Linked DNA regions of Drosophila melanogaster. The gene in region 2 interacts genetically with the main gene of each other region. Each region holds a gene or a part of one and is shown on either strand. Other genes may lie near its edges.

What was found.
Region 1: of Pu (region 2) and Dhpr, changing one enhances a phenotype caused by changing the other (phenotypic enhancement), as found in Drosophila melanogaster (one study listed by BioGRID).
Region 3: of Pu (region 2) and awd, changing one enhances a phenotype caused by changing the other (phenotypic enhancement), as found in Drosophila melanogaster (one study listed by BioGRID).
Region 4: of Pu (region 2) and btl, changing one suppresses a phenotype caused by changing the other (phenotypic suppression), as found in Drosophila melanogaster (one study listed by BioGRID).

What each region holds. Positions count from the first base shown.
Region 1 is NT_037436.4:9,132,862-9,136,441, forward strand, and holds Dhpr (dihydropteridine reductase), read left to right. Parts: upstream 1-1,698; 5' UTR 1,699-1,945; coding exon 1,946-2,029; intron 2,030-2,125; coding exon 2,126-2,749; 3' UTR 2,750-2,996; coding exon of another isoform or gene 2,997-3,040; 3' UTR 3,041-3,055; downstream 3,056-3,580. Other genes in the region: Use1 (unconventional SNARE in the ER 1), read right to left, coding at 2,997-3,040, 3,440-3,580.
Region 2 is NT_033778.4:21,177,524-21,183,121, reverse strand, and holds Pu (punch), read right to left. Parts: upstream 4,005-5,598; 5' UTR 3,830-4,004; coding exon 3,478-3,829; intron 3,185-3,477; coding exon 2,975-3,184; intron 1,839-2,974; exon of another isoform or gene 1,767-1,838; intron 1,703-1,766; coding exon 1,537-1,702; intron 1,478-1,536; coding exon 1,361-1,477; intron 1,287-1,360; coding exon 1,157-1,286; 3' UTR 514-1,156; downstream 1-513. Other genes in the region: CG4286 (uncharacterized protein), read left to right, coding at 4,585-4,926, 4,989-5,306. UniProt on the Drosophila melanogaster protein: Isoform B is required for eye pigment production, Isoform C may be required for normal embryonic development and segment pattern formation.
Region 3 is NT_033777.3:31,744,638-31,747,826, reverse strand, and holds awd (abnormal wing discs), read left to right. Parts: upstream 1-1,749; 5' UTR 1,750-1,883; coding exon 1,884-2,057; intron 2,058-2,236; coding exon 2,237-2,569; 3' UTR 2,570-2,655; downstream 2,656-3,189. Other genes in the region: nero, read left to right, coding at 352-1,260; CG1896 (uncharacterized protein), read right to left, coding at 2,706-2,826, 2,889-3,189. UniProt on the Drosophila melanogaster protein: Major role in the synthesis of nucleoside triphosphates other than ATP. The ATP gamma phosphate is transferred to the NDP beta phosphate via a ping-pong mechanism, using a phosphorylated active-site intermediate.
Region 4 is NT_037436.4:14,074,083-14,081,823, forward strand, and holds the start of btl (breathless), read left to right. Parts: upstream 1-1,731; intron 1,732-1,793; coding exon of another isoform or gene 1,794-1,863; 5' UTR 1,864-1,966; exon of another isoform or gene 1,967-2,041; intron 2,042-2,982; exon of another isoform or gene 2,983-3,045; intron 3,046-5,372; 5' UTR 5,373-5,529; coding exon 5,530-7,741. Other genes in the region: Pex1 (peroxin 1), read left to right, coding at 1-436, 495-691, 754-1,377, 1,628-1,731, 1,794-1,863. UniProt on the Drosophila melanogaster protein: May be required for patterning of muscle precursor cells: generation of mesodermal and endodermal layers, invaginations of various types of cells, and CNS formation.

The DNA.
Region 1 (3,580 bases), on a different chromosome or scaffold from region 2:
CTTTAGATACTCTACTGTAAAATTATATTCCTCTAGTTCAAGCCTTATTCTAGTTAATTTAGAGCTGGGGTTCACCATCGAGAATAAATATGTCAATGGTCTATGGTCTGTTTTCACAGTGAAATGTTTTCCGTAAATGTATGGTCTGAAATGTATTATTGCCCAATGAATTGCTGCTAACTCTTGTTCTGTTGTACTCTTATTGCTTTCACCTTTCGTAAAAGCTCTGGATGCATAAGCAACTGGGAGTTGGTGGCCATTATGGTTTTGAGTTAAAACTGCGCCACACGCTTGCTTGCTTGCATCTGTTGTTATGCAAAATTCTTTGCTGAAGTCTGGGTACTGCAAGAGTGTTGGGTTAATTAGCTGAGATTTTAAATGTATGAATGCTTTTTGACATTCATCTGTCCACTCGAATGGAACATTCTTTTTACATAATCTTGTTATGTGCCGCGAATAGTCGGCGAAATTTTTGATAAAACGTCTGTAGTAATTGCAAAATGCTACAAAACGTCTAGCGCTGTCCGCATCATGTGGAACTGGGTAGTTCTGAATGACATCATATTTTTTGTCATCCGGCAAAATTCCTTTGTCTGTGCATTTGTGTCCCAAAAATGTGACTTCATGCATGAAAAATGAACATTTTTCAGGATGTAACTTTAGGTTGTATTCCCTGCATTTACCAAAAACTTCAGTGAGGTTTTTAAGCATATGTTTTTCGGAACAACCTATGACTATTAAGTCATCCATATAAAGGAATGCTTGAGACGGTTCTATTCCGGAGAATGCTATAGTCATCATTCTTTGGAATGAATTAGGCGCTATTTTTAAGCCAAATGGCAATCGCGTGAAACGATATGAGCCATTGCTGGTTGAGAAAGATGTTATATCTCTCGAGCCTTCATCCAGTTCGATTTGATGAAAACCTGACATTAAATCAAGGCAGGAGAAATATTTTGCTCGACCAAGTTGGTCCAAAATATCATCTATTCTCGGTAGTGGAAATTTGTCAGCTAAAAGTTTCTTATTAATTTGGCGATAGTCTATTACTAATCTCCATTTCTTTTTATCAGAATTCGGGCTTGACTTTTTGGGTACTAATAGCAAAGGGCTATTGTACTGTGAAACTGATGGTTCAACTATTTTATCTTTTATTAATTTCTGAACTTGGGCTTGTATTTCTTCCACTTGACTATGAGGACTTCTATAATTTTTCGTGTATACTGGCTCATCATCTTTTAATCTCAACTGTTGTTTATACAAATTATTAACTGTTATAGGTTCTGATTCTAATGCAAATATATCTATATATTCGCTGCATATATTTTCTAATTGTGATTTAAACAATTCGGGGAAATTTTTCTTTAATTGAGATAAGACAGTTTTATTTCTGTGTTCACTATTTGCCTGAACTACATTGTAGTTCGAAAGTGGCTCATATTTTAGAGTGTCCATGACGTAACGCGACGACGACTGGTGGGACTGAGTGGAAAACACAGCTACGGCGCGTAACTCTGGTCTGGTGGAAATGCGGCGCACGAATTTCACGCATTTCCCTTTTCAAAAAAGAGCAGCGAGCAATGCGTGAGCGAGACGGGTAAAGTTGGCGGCGAACAGCTGTGGAATACCAAAAAAAAAAAATACCAAATAACGCCTTACTCACGACAGTGTGACCTTGCTGTGCGTTTTCTGGTCATCTTATTGATTTTCCACTTGTTGCTGCTGCTGTATCTTTTTGTAGCGAATAAAAAGCTATATCTGCACGCTGAAGCTTAAACTCGACTTGAAATTCATTCTCCCGATTATTACCGGTAGAACTGGTCTTGCGGTTAAAAACCCCAGCTGCGTTCAAAGCTCCCGCACGATTTTGACTCACCAAAATCGGTGTTCTCGTGTTTTTCTCGCATTTAGTTAAATTGCAACTTTAAAACTGGCAGCACGCATCATGTCCGCAGGTCGAGTGGTTATTTACGGTGGCAAAGGAGCCTTGGGTTCGGCCTGTGTCGATCACTTTAAAGCCAACAATTATGTGAGTTACCTTTCACTTAATTATTAAATACAATTGCCTCATTATCTATTGTTTTCCCTCGCGTCAACTACGACCTTCACCTGGATAATCCATCAGTGGGTTGGCAGCATCGATCTGACGGAGAACGAGAAGGCCGACGTTAGCATTGTGGTGCCACGCGATGCTAGTTGGGTGGAACAGGAGGAAACGGTGGTGTCCAAAGTCGGGGAATCCCTTGCCGGCGAGAAACTGGATGCCGTCATCTGCGTGGCTGGCGGCTGGGCAGGTGGTAATGCCAAGAAGGATCTGGCCAAGAATGCCGATCTCATGTGGAAGCAGAGCGTGTTGACCTCCGCCATTTCGGCAGCTGTGGCTGCTCAGCATCTAAAGGCCGGAGGCTTGCTGGCTCTCACTGGAGCTAAGCCCGCTTTGGAGGGCACACCCGGTATGATCGGCTATGGAATGGCCAAGGCAGCTGTCCACCAGCTGACCCGCTCGCTGGGCGCTGAGAAATCCGGTCTGCCAGCTGGTTCCCTGGCTGTGTCCATACTTCCCGTAACTCTAGATACACCCATGAACCGTAAATGGATGCCGGATGCAGATTTTGGAACCTGGACACCGCTCACCGAGGTGGCCGGACTTTTCCTTAAGTGGACCCAAGATCAGGAGAGGCCCAAAACTGGATCCCTGTTGCAGCTGATCACCACAAACGGCATTACGCAGCTTATCGCTGCCGAATAGGCTAAGAGATACAGATACGAATCCAAATGACACTTAATGATGAAACAAAAATGCTCAAAAACCATAATCTAAACGCTTTCGCTTGTACATAAACTATTCATAAATAAATCGCTGGGCGGCTTTCGATCGTTTAATGTGGTTCTGCTTACACGATTTGGGTGGATAACCTCTTGAACTCGGGAGCTTAACGAGCGTTTAAAGCTTGCTTAGAGTACAATCTTTAGTTTGCTTAGTTTGGAAATTGTTTCTACGACTTCTTCTTCTTCATAATCTTCATGAATAAAACCATACCTGTAAATTGAAAGGGTAATAAACTCATTAGTATAATTAAGCAGCAACAATCGAACTGCAATAAATCGAACCAATTAAGAAATGTAATTTCAAACTGAGTCACGGCAAACTTGTTTATTTGGCTTAAGTGAAGTGACTCGCAGTGTTTTCGTATTCAGTTTAAATACAATAATAATAGCAATGGAATCTAATATCTATTTATCTGTTTTCGTTCTTATAATGAATATTTATAATATTGTGATTAACATATTCAGGAAACTTGGTTTATAAACGTGTTTAAATGTGTGTTGTTGAGTTGGATAACTTAAGGTATATTTGTTAAGTAAATGAATTGGGATTTTCCAAGAGGGGTTCTTTTTTGCAGCTTGAACAAAACTTCCACAAAATACAATGACTCACCTATAAAAGTGGCAATTACGAAGGCAATCATCAGCCACAGCCAGCACTTGTAGGCTTTTTTCGAATGTTGCTCCAGTTTCTCAGCCTCTTTTCCTAGCGAATTGATATTGCGATCCGCCATTCCGGCGGAACGCGACACAA
Region 2 (5,598 bases):
GTGAAATTGTTATCCAATAATTTTGGGTCCAAACGAAAGGTACACAGTAGGATTTGCAAGTAATAGATTATATATTTATCAAACTAAGAAGTTGAATAAAAAATATTTATATTTATTTCTTTGAATCATATTTTACACTGTTTTTTTTTTTTTTTTTTGATTCGTTATATACGAAATAAATTTAAAAAAAAATTATGCATCGGCCGGGAATCGAACCCGGGCCGCCCGCGTGGCAGGCGAGCATTCTACCACTGAACCACCGATGCTCTTGCTGCATTTCAAACAAAGCACTATGATGGATACTACACGACTGGAACCAACAACCTGTTGGTGTTGGGGGATTCCTGTCACTTAGTAGCCTCCATTTCAGTAGACTCCGTGGCGCAACGGTAGCGCGTCCGACTCCAGATCGGAAGGTTGCGTGTTCAAATCACGTCGGGGTCATTCGAGAAAGCTCCTGTTGTTTTTGGGATATTTCTTTTTTTATACATTTTATAAAAAATCCTTCATTTTAACGTTATTTAAATACATAATTTATTGTATAATTAATAAGCAGCTTTGACTCACTACAAGCAACGTCATTTACATAATGAGCATATAATTTTAACATTTAAAATCTTCCAATATACTTTGGTCCCTGTCGAGGAACATTATGAATGCAACTCTTTATATAGGTTAACATACATACATAACTATAGATCTGATTAATTTGATGTGAACTGTTTATAAATTGTAAATTCCCTAAACAATTTGCCGTGATTTATTATCAGTTGTTCCCTTATTGCACAATGCATTAATCGTATGTATACGTTGTAAAAATTATCGTTCAAGTGCCATAAAACTGCATATAAAATTGAACATAAAACTACCCAACACCGGTATTCAAATCTCGTCCTCTTCGAATCTCGCTTCTCATTACATTCATCTATCTAAAAAACGTATTTTGCTAACAAAATTTTTCAACAATTTTTACACAAATCAACAAGGAAAATGGCTGCGCAATCATTGCACTAACTAAATGAAATCAATCCTAAAAACATAAACTAATGGACCCTGTGTTTCGTTTCATTTTTGTTTGTTTGTATATAAGCGCCTCCAAAAATATTGTAGGGGTTTAGTTGGTCTCGGATTTCAGTAGCGTCCTCTAGTGCCCACTCTATTTGCTATTGACTAAGTTCAGGAATTCCTCACGGGTCTTGGGATCGTCTCGGAACACGCCCAGCATAGTTGAGGTAACAGTTTTGCTGTTGATCTTCTGCACGCCACGCATCACCATGCACATGTGGCTGTATAGGAGGAAAGCCATTCGTTAAACTATAATATTCTTTAAAATATATATGTATATATATTTAATACTTACACTCCCTCTACGACCACTGCTACTCCAGCGGGTTGCACGGCCTGAGTCACGGCCACTGCGATCTGCTTAGTTAAGCGCTCCTGGACTTGCAGGCGACGCGAAAATATTTCGACAATGCTATGGGATCGCAAATTATATGAAAGATCATCTAATATGCATTACTAAGTTTATCTTACCGTGCCAATTTACTGAGTCCGAGAATCTTGTTGCACGGCAAATAACCGATGGAAACTTTGCCGTAGAAGGGCACCAGATGATGCTCGCACATGGAGAACATTTCAATATCCTTGACCACCACCATTTCGTCATGATCCTCGTCGAAAACGGCGCCATTGAGAACATCTATTAAAAAAAATTTGAAATGGTGTAGTAAAAAAAAAGTACGAAAAAGGAATTCATCATCGCCTGACCCCGACGTGATTTGAACACGCAACCTTCCGATCTGGAGTCGGACGCGCTACCGTTGCGCCACGGAGTCGTTATTGAAAAGTTCGCCCAATGTCCCACAACCACGAAGCTACTCAAGTGGCGTTCCTTCGCTACCCGTGATTTATGGCGCGCGTAATTCGTGTTAGATTTATTTGCTGCATAACTGAATACTGAATGTTAAGTTCAAGCGACTGTGAGTGCTAAAGTGGTTGCTTAGCGAGTGTTTGTGTGTGTGTGTGCGTGTGTGAGGTTGCGGGTCTTGGGGGGAGGTTGACTTGACTTGACTTGACTGGATGGGCTTATGGTTCTTGTGGAGTGTGAGCTTTCGCCACACTCGTTTTAAACGATGTGCTCTTGAGATTCCCATTCCTTGAATAGAAGCCGCCGCCGCACCGCACACCCACCCACTTTACCGCTCTTAATATACAGACCGGAAAGCTTCAGTGCGTTTCCTGACCAACCAGCGAAGAAGCCAAGAAGTAGCCAAGTAGCCAGTGAGCCATCTAACAAACAATCCAACAAGCATCTTGTGTGTGTGGTGGGGAGGGGGGTGGAGTTCCCCCAACACCAGATTGGCAAGTCACGTTGGCTCGGCTTCTTGGGTTCTTTGAATTCGGGTTAAACACAATCCAACCCATTCTATTGCCGATGCCGAAGGCTATTCACTTTCGTTCAACGAATTTAGCTTTCAAATGGCCTGCTGCTGTTGCTGTTGATCTTAAATTTACATGCGATTTTATTTGACAAACCGTAGAACCTGATTTCTCGGGCAACCGGTTAGGTATGCTGGTGTAGCAACCATATAATTCGCAATTCTGTTTTGTTTCTCAAACGACTCACATTGATTACATGACAAGTTCAAAAGCGACTGCAAGTCGAAATGCACGCCAAACATGAGACCAAAAACTTTACTAGTCAAATCTCATATTTCATAGGATATTGAATGGATTTTGGATGCGTCCACTTGATTGGACAAGCCCGAAATTGCCTAATGGCTCCCTATGTTCATGTGCTTTATCTCTCGAGTGGTCAGGTAATTAGGCTAATGCACCATAGCGGACCGAGGAACCCCCGTAAATGGTGATTCACCGACATGAAACTAGTTCCCACTCGCTGGGAAAACCAGGATGAGCAACTTCGATCACTGACCCGGTGCTAATTGCTTGAAATGTGTGGTGTGCTTACCCTCGAGACTCTGGTCGTAGCCCTTGGTGAAGTACAGCATGGCCTTGGCTGCCCGCTCCGGCGTCTTGATCAGTCCCTGGCGATCGGGATTCTCGCCCAGGCCGCCCAAGAGTAGACGATACGAGCGTGCCATGTCCGGAAGGAGGGCCTCTCGCGTCGGCGGCTTGTGGTCCAGCTCCAGGTCGTGGTGGAACGTGCACTTCTCGTGGCCTGTAAATGGAAATACGGATGGAAACATGATGAGAATCGTTATCATGCGAGATAGGAAGGCATTGCCCCCCTTCGTTGGCTGTGTGTGGCTGTCTAAGTACTATTCCCCATTCCGAGGCGCATCTTCTGACCTCTGAACCGAAACACTAACCCACTGATAGGCGTACGGTTTATGCTCAAAAAGAGTTTGTCAAGCACTCCTCCTCCTCCTAGTTCATTGACTAACTAAATCGGTCGCAGCAAACATAGCTCTGGATCCCCTGACCTGGTCCTGGACCACTACCCACCACTACCTGGCGTTGTCGATGTACGCGGTGTCAGTGGTGTTTTCGGTTGTGTACCATCACTATCCGGACTGCTGCCGTTGGTCTTCAGGATGAGGCGGGGTCTCTGGTTGCCGGCCAACGGGACGAGAGCAGGAGCTGGCGCCACCTCCTCGACGGGTGTGCCCGCAATGGCAGTGGCCTCCTCCGCCTGGTTCTGCTGCCTGTCCGCCAGCGAGGAGGTGCCCGAGGTGCTACTTGTTGAGCAGACGCTGTTGTTGCGTCCGCGCGAAAGGATGTGGGCCTGCGGGAAGTTGGTGTCGTCGATGGCATCGTTCAGCTCGCTGGCACTCATCTCGGACAGTTGGCGGGTAAAGCTCATGGCGGTGCGGCTACTCAGGTTTGTTTGCCACTCGAATGGAACTCAATTTGACGGCTAGCACACAATCTTTTTTCCTCGATGATTTTCTCACTGCTATCTGTCTCTTTTTGCGCTGCTGTCTGCCGGACTTTGTCTTCGCGTGTTGGCGCTTCGGGTGGCTCTGCTCTTCTGGTGGCTGCTGTGGCCAGCGGTGGCAATAAGAACCTCTCGAGCGGAGCTTTGAGCGGCGGAAAGCTCCAATCAATAGCCAACAGACCATCCAACGGGCAAGCTCTGCTCCGAGTTTCGCTTGCCGGAGATTAAGTGAGCGGAACTAAACCGAGCTGAGCGCAGGCCCACGGTTTGGCATCCAGTGGCTGTAAAACCGCGCACGAACTTGTTGCTCGGCCAGGAGGCGATAGAACTACAGCACTAGCCACGAAAATAGTGCCATCAAATGTTAAAAACTAGCTTTGGGTGGTAGGTCAATTTACTTGTTAGGAAAGTAAAGCTACCTTATTGGGATAAGTGTAGCGTTTACCCTTAATATATATTATTAAATAGAGTGTACCAAGCTTTTGCCCTCAAACGTGCACTTTATCCTTGGCGCCAACTTAATCTCAACTATTGTTTGCATATCCTTGAAACCCACTCAACTTGGGGCCAGACGTCAAGTTGTAGTTCATTTAAACATTCCACTCGAAACGAGCTACTCCCCCAAATTCGAACCCCCTTCCAACCATCCGCCCCTCCATTCATCTTGGAGAACCAAAGTCATGGCGCACCGCCTCCAGCTCCGTAGCGATGACTTCGACGTTATCGGCGCCGTGCCCCGCAATCTGTCCGTGATCAAGAACTTCCTGAAGCGGGACTGTGCCATCAAGAAACTGATCGACATCGAGGAAGAGTTCCTGCAGGAATGCGTATTGCGCGGCCAGGATCCCATGAATCCGAAGGGTAAACGTGACAGTGACAGTGGGCCACATGGTAGTGGTTTGGGATCCAATGTGCCCGAACCCAAGCCGGATCCATGTGCTACCAAGACACCGGAGAACACATTGGCCTCCGACTACTGTGATCCCTGTCGCCGACTCAAGACCTCCGTGGTTCTCGAAGAGGTGAGTGATCTGTACATTCAATGTGCTTCAGTGATTTAGATGTTACTCCACTCATCTATCAGCTAACCAAGCCGGCCATCACAAATCCGGCTTTCAACAAATCCCTGCCGCCGTACTTCGATGAAGAGAGCGTGATGGGCAACTCGTTGCCCGTGAAGTTCCGTTTCCGGCGCAAGTTCAACAAGTGCGACCAGGAGAAGGCCGGCAACCTGATGTGCACCAACACGCCGAGCACCAATGTGGTCGTGTTGACCAACTGTTGCGACGTGATGGTCTGGCCCAGTCAACGGGTGGCCCAGATGAACCGGGTGCCGGTGACCATGCTGTCGGGCGAAGCCGATCTCACGGAGTACATGCTGGAGGAGGAGACCATTATGTGAGGGAATGGTTGGATGGGTGCAGCTTTTTGGCACATAACGCCGATCAATAAAGCATTAACCCCACTTAGAAGTGTCCTCATTTTGTGCGGGAAACCCTGCATCCCACATGTGGGGCTTCAATTGAAAGTAGCTAGTCTCTCCAGCTGGCCAAATTTGATTATTCTCTGCATATATTCGGAATCTTATTTGCATGCAAAGTATTCGTGGTTTATCGCGAGCACTTTTCTTGTTTATGGCATGGAGTTGAAGGTTATTCTTTATATATGTATATACATATATATGTCCTGAGAAA
Region 3 (3,189 bases), on a different chromosome or scaffold from region 2:
AACTTTTCACCGTGAAGAGCCGCTCTTTTGGTCACCGATGCTGCGCCAGGACTGAGTCAGTATTTTTGAATACTTTCTGTGTCTAGAACGTTCGCTTTTCACCCTTTTATTGACTTTTTTGTATCGCGCTTCTACGGAGTAAACGTAACTAAACTGCTTCTTGCTAGTGCTGCACAATTTGTACTCTAAACGCGTTGGCAGCGCCGTTTCATCGACTCATAGTCCATCGATAGCCACGTCATATCGATTACTTGTAGTTTTGGTATTACCAAGTACTGAGTGTATGGCCACATTGCGACACCACACGCGGCCCGTTGCAGTTTTTTATTTATAAGTCCACACCGCATACAAATGGTTTCGCAGCAGCAAATCGAGGCCATTGGAGGCGTTCTGAACAACAAGGAACGCCCACTGAAAGAGCGCTTTCGAGCCCTCTTCACGCTGAAGAACATCGGCGGAGGAGCGGCCATCGAGGCGATCAGCAAAGCCTTTGACGATGATTCGGCCCTTCTCAAACATGAGCTGGCCTACTGCTTGGGTCAGATGCAGGACGCACAGGCGTTAGACATCCTCACCAAGGTGCTAAAGGACACCACCCAGGAGCCGATGGTGCGCCACGAGGCTGCGGAGGCCATGGGCGCCATTGGTCATCCAGATGTGCTGCCAATTCTGGAGGAGTACAAACAAGATCCGGTAGTGGAGGTGGCCGAAACATGTGCCATTGCTCTGGACCGCGTCCGCTGGCTGCAGAGTGGCCAAAAGGTAGATGACAGCAACCCTTACGCCTCCGTTGATCCCTCACCGCCAACTGCGGGCGACAAGAGCGTCACCGAGCTGAAGGCCATCTATCTGGATGCCCAGCAGAGCCTGTTCGATCGATATAGGGCCATGTTCAGCCTGCGCAATCTGCGCACCGAAGAGAGTGTCTTGGCCATTGCCGAGGGACTTAAGGACTCTTCCGCCCTCTTCCGCCACGAGGTGGCCTTCGTACTGGGCCAGCTGCAAGAACCCTGCAGCATTCCCTTCCTTCAAGAGAATCTGGAGGATCGCCTGGAAAACGAAATGGTGCGTCACGAGTGTGCCGAGGCCCTTGGCGCCATCGCCACAGAGGACTGCATTCAGATCTTGAACCGCTACGCCGAGGACGACAAGCGCGTGGTCAAGGAGAGCTGCGTCATCGCCCTGGACATGTGCGAGTACGAGAACAGTCCGGAGTTCCAATATGCCGACGGCCTAGCCAAACTAGACGCGACCAAGTGATTTTCGCCGAACATTTGCATCTACCAGCTGTGTATATATTAGTCGTAAACTTGTATTGTTTTGTCACTTCTGTGATCACATGGACCTAATCTTATCGAGACATAAAAAGAAATTTGAACGTGACTTCCCTGTGGTTTTTGATTAACCTGCTGGATGGATGAATCAACTGGTGGGAATGCTGATGCTAATGAGTGCCTAGTAACTATCCTAGTTTGACGGGCATTTTATCATCAACTGTGGGCAACTCTTTGTTTTTTTTTAAATGTTTTAATGTGTCTAGTAATTAAAAATAATACTATTGAGTTTTCGTTATTTTTGCTTTAAATTATTCGATGAAATGCATTCAGAATACATTCTGAAATTCAAAGTACAAGGCGACATGGCAGCCCCATTTGAGCGGTTATAAACTGAAAAAAATATGAATACTTTAGCAATGCACTCAAATTTCCGCTTTGGAATTTAAATAACAAGTATTTTCCTATCCTTTAAATCGCCCAACAAAAACAAAAACTCAAGAACGCGGCTGGCTGCCCAGTGTGACCACTTGACGATTTCCCACAATTCACCTTGCCGGCATTTCGTATTCGGGATTTTTTTGCAACGGCGAACACATGAAGCTCCTGATGCTCGGCACAATTTTGGCATTCTTTTCTGTAATCTCGGCGACAATGGCGGCTAACAAGGAGAGGACTTTCATCATGGTCAAGCCCGATGGCGTCCAGCGCGGGCTCGTCGGCAAGATCATCGAGCGCTTCGAGCAGAAGGGCTTCAAGCTGGTCGCCCTGAAGTTCACCTGGGTAAGCGGATAATTGAATTAGGAAGAAATCAATAGATATAAATACGTGGAAACGGGTTGCCCCACGCGGGGTTGCCATCGGACCTAACCTCAAAGGCTGGGTGCAGGCGTCATCGCGGAATGACATGTGTTTAGAGGTCAGAACTGCAATTAACTGATAACGAACCGTTTTGTAACCAGGCCTCCAAGGAGCTGCTGGAGAAGCACTACGCTGATCTGTCCGCCCGCCCCTTCTTCCCCGGACTCGTGAACTACATGAACTCCGGCCCCGTGGTGCCCATGGTGTGGGAGGGTCTGAATGTGGTCAAGACCGGTCGCCAGATGCTCGGCGCCACCAACCCCGCCGACTCGCTGCCCGGCACCATCCGCGGTGACTTCTGCATTCAGGTCGGACGCAACATCATCCACGGCTCCGATGCCGTCGAGTCTGCCGAGAAGGAGATCGCCCTGTGGTTCAACGAAAAGGAGCTGGTCACCTGGACCCCGGCCGCCAAGGACTGGATCTACGAATAGACGGCTACTTTAACTGTCTGCCCTCGTCTAAGCTGAATACAGATTGATTCTTCTAAAGAAATAAAATTCCACAATAATTACTATATAATCTTGCTTCTTTATAAGGAGTGTGAGCTTTGGAAAGGTTTCTATGATATTAAGTTAAGGATAGTCGATAGCCTATCCACTGAGCTGTAGGCTTTGTTGGCGGTAGCACCCATCCTCTGGGTATAGAGGAGCCTCTTCCACAGTAGCTTATGTAAGAATCCCATGTGGAGCTGGAAAAAGCGATGCAATTAAAAGGGAGCTCCCGCCGGACAATGCATTTCCCTAGACATACCGAATTTCAAGAAATTTCCCCTTATTTAATTTGGGAGTTGGCAAGGATCGGCCGAAGAACACAGCCTTCCATTGAGATTCAAGTGAAGCCACCTTCTTGGACTCCTTGACATGGCCAGCTTGAGTCTCTTCTTGGACTCTGCGCCAAACAAGACGCATGTGGGTCAGTTTTTGGCAAAGGGCGGCTCTGTCTCCTCCACGAGACTCGCAAAGTTTCTCCAGAAGATCAAAGGTCTCCAAAATGGAGGCAGCATCGCGTTGTTTTCGCAGGGATATGTGCTTCGCTTGTTCCAGTGCGGTAT
Region 4 (7,741 bases), on a different chromosome or scaffold from region 2:
CGCAACATTTTTACCAGCTGCCTGCAGCATGCCCCCGCCATTGTTGTGCTAGAAAACTTGGATGTACTGGCCCACGCTGCTGGAGAGCAGTCCAGTCAGGATGGAGAGTACTACAATCGCATGGCGGATACTGTGTATCAGTTGATTGTTCAGTATACCACCAACAACGCTATTGCAGTAATCGCCACCGTCAACGAGTTGCAGACCCTCAATAAGCGATTGAGCTCACCAAGGGGAAGACATGTCTTCCAGACTGTTGCTCGTCTGCCCAATTTGGAACGAGCAGATCGAGAGATAATTCTTCGAGAGCTGTGCAGCCATATCAATGTGGCCAAGGACCTGGATCTTGTTAAGTTCTCCAACCTCACGGAGGGCTACCGGAAATGTGATCTTGTTCAGTTCGTGGAGCGTGCAATATTTTATGCTTATCGCATAAGTGAGTAGTTTGTAGTGTTAGTAAGCAACTTTATCATGTTAAATTCCCTTTTTTCCAGGCAAGACCCAGCCTCTTCTGACCAATGATCAGCTTATTGAGTCCCTGGAGCACACAAACTCGTACTGCCTGCAGGGCATTCAGAGCAATCAAAGAACTGGCAATGATGCCGATGCCAATGAAATGCGCGTCGAGGAGTTGCCTGGCCTGGAGTCAGTTGTGGGAGTTCTGGAGGAGGTCCTTATGTGGCCATCAAGGGTGAGTTTTAAACGAAATATATGTTTTTTTCTAAAATTTAATAAATCATTAATTTCTTACAGTATCCAACCATTTTTAACGCCTCTCCACTGCGCAACCAGGCCGGAGTACTTCTATATGGGCCACCAGGAACAGGTAAAACCTATCTGGTCTCTCAGTTGGCCACATCGTGGAACCTGCGCATCATTTCCGTCAAGGGTCCTGAGTTGCTCGCCAAATATATTGGTCAAAGCGAGGAAAATGTTCGAAACCTGTTCAATCGAGCTCGCAGTGCCCGACCATGTGTGCTTTTCTTCGACGAGTTTGACAGCTTGGCGCCGAAACGTGGTCACGATTCCACGGGGGTCACCGATCGAGTGGTAAATCAGTTGCTCACAGAACTGGATGGCGTTGAAGGACTGCAGGGAGTTACCGTGATAGCAGCTACCTCCAGACCGGAACTGCTAGATCCCGCGCTTCTTCGATCCGGTCGCATTGATCGCTTGGTGGAGTGTCCTTTGCCGGATGCTCCGGCCAGAGTACGTATATTTGAAGCACTCAGTTCAACACTGAGCCTTGATGAGTGCGTGGACTTCGATTGGTTTGCGGGAAAAACTGCAAACTACACTGGCGCCGATATCCAGAGCATCCTGACCTCGGCGAACATGGCGGCGGTTAAGGAGGCGCTAGCTCAATTCGGACACGAGGTGAGCTGGGAATTATTTTCACCGGAAACAATCTGCTTTATGGGTCATGCAAGCTTTCAACCGTTTCTTTCATGTTTTATTGTTTCTCATCCTGATTTCAAATGTAACTTCTATGTAAAAACTCCTTTACGTGTTTGTCTTTTAAATCAAAAGTGAAATCTATGCTACTTCCTGCAACAATGATTAGTCACGTAGTTCTTAGTCTCTGGCCACAGTATAAAATACCATTTGTTTCTTATTGCTTTCCCAGAAACTGGCAAAGAAAATTTCCTTGAAGCAGAAGCACCTGATTGAGTCGTTCCAAACCACTCGTCCTTCGCTCAGCGCCTCCGATGTGGCCAAATATCACAGAACGTACGTAACAATGTCTTCTTTGTTCTTCTGTTCTTCTTACCTTTTTAATTATCTCTTGGTAGGTATGCTCGCTTTACCAACAAGGAGAAGACTTCTAGGGAGTTTGTAGCCAAGCGTGCGACCTTGGCTTAAAGACAAAGACTTATAAGCTTAGCATTATTATTATTTTAAATTGTTTTTTGCATATTTGTACATCTGGAAAATGGAACATTTTGTTGGAAGACGCAAGTCTTAGGTAGTACATATTTCATAATTTTTCTTGTTGAAAAATAAAAACCAAATTTCTTTTATGATTACTTCGTATAAATCCATATACCACTCCGGAGTGTTAAATTGAAAGAATATTATATTTTAATTATAATGTACATACATGTATAAAAAAGAGAAAGAGATGTTCAAATTTAAGAACTAATATCTTTTCGCATTCTGACCTCGGTAAACATGAGTGCTGTTAAGGGGTGGCTCCTTAACAAATGAAGACATCAGGTGAGTTTGGTTATTAATTCACCGGAAATTGTGTTTAGCTATAACAAGTTTTTGATAGCTAGTTTGGATAGTATGTCCCTCCTTTTCGTATTTCCCAACTGTTTCGCATTTGTTCCCATAGCCCCTAACAAGTGCATCAAAAATGCATTTAACTATTTTTGGGTAGATTACGTGCCCGGCATCTGGATCTGGATTTTGGCCTATGCGGGAGCTAGCTGCTGCCATGCCACATGCAGCAACTGAGATTTTTGGATATCAGTCACGTAACGGATATTTCCTTATTGATATGCGATTACCGCGCATGCGCACGTACTGCACACCACTAAGACAATGGACACATTTTCTTTTGCATAAATTAAGCCGCCAAGCAAACAAACAGGGAGGGAACCCGAAGGCCAGATAATAAAGAATTTCAACGAGTCGAAGCCACCGCAAACATGCTTAGAATAAAACCAACAAGAACCTAGCAGAAGCAGCAGCAGCAAACCAGCAATAAAAAGAAAGGAAACCGCTCAGGAAAACTACCAGCGAAAACAATTGCAACATGCGGGAGGGAGACCACCTCGATCAGGTAGCCGTCCGAACCCATACCATCCCATCCGAAGACCCTGTGCCCAGGATCCTAGCAAACATTATCGCAGGGAACCACAGATATCCACTCGTTTCGTATCGTATTGGATCGTATTGGATCGGTTCGGTTCGATCGGCACGTTCGGATCGTTCGTATCGTACCGCGTAAAAGTTTCTTCCGTTTCGATCGTTACTTTCAGTTGTTTGCGCACATTCAAGCCAATCGGTTGGCTCCTTCCACAAACTTTACGGATTACGGTTAGTGCAACGGAAGTGAACCCCCCCCCCCCCCCCCCGCCCAACACCAGCTACCCATCACATATTTCTTTTCATTTATGCCTGGTAAAGGGAAATAAAAGTTGGCAACGAAGCGGAAATGCAAGGCGCCTTCCGCTGCCCTCTTGCCGAGTCTTAAGATTTTTATACAAGCCCCAACCGCGATTGACAGCCGAATAAACATAGTGACAATGTTTTTTGCAATCTTATTTGCCTTCTCCGGCTCCTCGAAAATAAAAGACAAAGAACGTGATTTTTTTGGTCAAAGATTTGGGGTTGTGGCATGGCAGAAAAGAATTGTGTTCCCACTGCGAACTGACAAGCAGCAGTGAAACCAAAATAAAGCAAAAAATAATTTAAGAGTGAATTGTTCCAGCAGTAAAATAAATACAAATCTTTCCAAGTGCAGCCAAAAGATCATAAACCACAGATAAATAAAAACAAAAAGTCTGCAAAGTAACCAAATGTTAAAAATAAAATTTTAATTGAGACAAAGAAACGTGATAAAACTGATTCATACATAATTAAATAAACACCAATGAAATAAATAAGAAAATAAAATTAAAGTGATGTCAATTGTATGAATGAATAATTTATGTCTTGATCCAAACATTCCTTTTACATTAAGTCAATGTTTGCAGAAAGAAAACTGAATGGGGAGTTAATACCCAGGGTTCCAAATAAAGAACTTATTCTATTCTCGATATAGCTGATTGACCAAGTTGAAATATCAAATCGTTCATGCATTAGATTTATACGCTCGATAATAATTCACAAGATAAAAAGGTGTGAGCTAAACGGTTTTGGCCATGTGCGCTTGTGGCTTAAAATCGAATCGAATAATATTGAATGAATGACAAACTGAGAAAAAAATTAAATAAAAATAGCAATAATACATACTTCAAATACAGCGATCGACTCGTATTTGGCAACAAATGAGAAAAAAAGGAATTGAATAAATTAAAACCTGCGACGCGTGTGCATACATACATAAATCGGGCCTGAAGTCAAACGGCTAGCGGCTAGCGGCAATATCGGCTAAAACAACAACAACAATTACTGGCAGCACTAGCACCATATTAACAACAACAATGACAATCGCAACGGTTGTCCCAAGCCTTACAAACAATAAAATACTTTTCATTAAACAGCACAGTGGTCAAAACGATTTTATAAAAGTTAAAAATATTTTAATTTTCTGATAGAAAAAATAGTCGAACTATGCTATGCCCCCATTATTATCAATATTTTCTAAACTTCGTTTAAAACTTTACATTTTGTACAAAGCTTACATTCGCAGACAACAAGTTTGGGAATTTACCCTATCATCATTAATCATTGAACTAAAAATTGTTTATTTTTATTTGGCAAACATTTGACGAACCCAAGTAGATGGAATACCCACTGTCCTATACCCTTTACGTGATTATACTAAAAATTAATTTTGAAATAATTATCTGCTATTAGGATTTTCGAGCAGTGTTATTCAGTGTTTAAAGCATAACTTTATTATAAATATACCTTTTAATTGATTAAAATGCTGAGCTCATATTGCACAGAGAATTTGAATGTTAATTAGTTGCTATTTCAGATTGTGGCAAATCATTTAGGTATTTCTCGATTTGTTGTTGCAATTCTCTAGCACCTTGTCTGTTTGTTTTGTAAGTGCAAGTATAGTACTTGGGGAATAACTGAAAAGTGTGACACCACTGTAACAACTGATTTCAACAAATAGCTAAGTGATTTTCTAACTGTTCGGCATTTAGTTGAATGGAAATCGAGGAGCGCAGGCCGCAGCAACAAAAGCATTTGGCGAACGTCGAATATAGACAAGTTATAATGGAGATCCCCTTCGGTAGTGGGTGGCGACGAGTGTGTCCGGCAATTCGGTGGCTTCGACCACGTCTTCCAGCTCATTACGAAGGCAGGGCACACAGTTTTCGTTTGTTTCAGTTGCTTCTCCTTTGGATTTTTGCATATCGGTGCGGACAGACTTGACTTGGCTGTGTGCCGTGTTGGCAATAAAATATTAAACAATAATAATAAATAAATAAAATGACACAGATCGGGAACTAAGGGAGGGGCAAAAAGTGAAGCGGAGATTTGGCAATATTTATTGATCCACTTATACAGCTGCGGTCAAAAGAATAGTGGCACAATAGTGGTATTCAAGTAACGAATAGCTAATAATATTTGCATTCATAACTTCTTAAATTTAGTTAAATTAAACAAAATTCCAAAGTGTTATTTTTAAAGTATAATATATCAATCAATGCCATGTAATTCATATATTTAATCCTTTCCTTTAGCTGGAGAACGCTCGATTTGAAATCGAGGAACTCGAATGAAGATACCCACAGGAAGTGATATTATTTCGACCGCAACTGTAACCCATATGTACACGATCGTGCCCATCCAGATACGAGATCTTGGTGGCTGTTGAACTCAAGAGAATCCACTTGAATCATGGCAAAAGTGCCGATCACGCTGGTGATGATCATTGCGATCGTCTCTGCCGCTGCGGACCTGGGATGCGATTATGGCCATCATCGTTGCTACATCGATGTGACTGTGGAAAACAGTCCCCGCCAGCGCCATCTGCTCTCCGACATGGACATCACGCTGCAGTGCGTCCGACCCATGGCCAAATGGTTCTATGAGGATAAGTTTCAACTGAGGGCTACCCTTTTGCGACTTGAACGAGCACAGTCCGGAAATTCTGGAAACTACGGCTGCCTGGATAGTCAGAACAGATGGTACAATATTTCCCTTGTTGTTGGCCATAAGGAACCAGTTGGCAATGATATCGCCAGCTTTGTCAAGTTGGAAGATGCACCGGCCCTCCCGGAGTCAGATCTCTTTTTTCAGCCCCTGAATGAGAGTCGATCCCTGAAGTTGCTGCAACCCCTACCCAAAACCGTACAACGGACCGCAGGTGGCCTTTTTCAGTTGAACTGCAGTCCCATGGATCCGGATGCAAAGGGTGTTAATATATCCTGGCTGCACAATGATACTCAAATCCTTGGTGGACGTGGACGCATTAAGCTTAAAAGGTGGTCATTAACAGTGGGGCAACTGCAGCCGGAGGATGCTGGAAGCTATCACTGTGAGCTGTGCGTGGAACAGGACTGCCAAAGGAGTAATCCGACCCAATTGGAGGTGATAAGCAGAAAGCACACGGTGCCCATGCTAAAGCCCGGATATCCCCGCAATACCAGCATTGCCCTCGGGGACAATGTGAGCATTGAATGCCTACTTGAGGACTCTGCCCTGGAGCCGAAGATCACGTGGCTACATAAGGGGAATGCGGACAACATCGATGACCTCTTGCAGCGTTTAAGAGAGCAGTCCCAGCTACCTGTGGATGTTACCCGATTGATTACCCGAATGGATGAACCGCAGGTACTTCGTCTTGGAAATGTCCTGATGGAGGATGGCGGATGGTACATATGCATAGCCGAGAACCAGGTTGGACGCACTGTGGCCGCCTCCTATGTGGATCTTTACAGTCCCTCAGATACTACCACAGTTCGCACGACCACTACTACCACCGTGGCCAGCCCAATACCCACTGCATCCACCGGAGAGGACAACGATGACGACGTGGAAAATCCAGCAGCGGAAGCATCAGGCGGCGTTGGTCCACCTGTGTTCAGAAAAGAGCTGAAACGATTACAGCACTCATTATCGGGAAATACTGTCAATCTAGCCTGTCCAGTGTACGGCAAAGCGAACATCACCTGGACGAAGGACAAGAAGCCGCTAAACCGTGAACTCGGCGTCTATGTGCAAAAGAACTGGACACTCCGCTTCGTGGAGGCCACCAGCGAGGATTCTGGACTATACAACTGTAAGGTGTGCAATGCGTGGGGCTGCATCCAGTTTGACTTCAGTGTCCAAATAAACGATCGCACGAGATCCGCACCAATAATCGTGGTGCCGCAAAATCAGACGGTGAAAGTCAATGGCAGCTTGGTGATGAAGTGCACCGTCTACTCTGATCTGCATCCAACAGTCAGCTGGAAAAGGGTTGTCCTCAAGAATGCCTCCTTGGACGGCCTTAAGTCTGTGGAAATCCAGAATCTCAACTTCACCGTGACGAATGACTCCGTAGTTTTAACGCTTCGTAATGTGACCTTTGACCAGGAGGGCTGGTACACCTGTTTGGCCTCAAGTGGTCTGGGAAGGAGTAACTCCAGTGTGTACCTTAGGGTAGTGAGTCCTCTGCCACCTTTGGAGATCTACGCCCTGCTGCACGCCCATCCTCTCGGATTCACCTTGGCCGCTATTACGATAGTGGCTTTGTTCCTTTTGGGCAGTGCTTTCATAACGTTCATGCTGCGTCGGCTGAGGAGGGAGAAGCTCCTGAAGCTCCGCATCGAAACGGTTCATCAGTGGACTAAAAAGGTGATCATATACCGACCGGGTGGAGAAGAAGGAAGTGGCTGCAGCTCCGGCGATCTTCAGATGCCAGTGATAAGGATCGAGAAGCAGAGAACAACCGTTTCCACAACGGGAACTGGCGGTACTGATCCCGCCCAGGGCTTTAATGAGTATGAGTTCCCGCTGGACTCAAACTGGGAGATTCCCAGGCAGCAGCTTAGCTTGGGCTCCATTTTGGGTGAGGGCGCCTTTGGACGCGTAGTGATGGCGGAGGCGGAGGGGCTTCCCAGGAGTC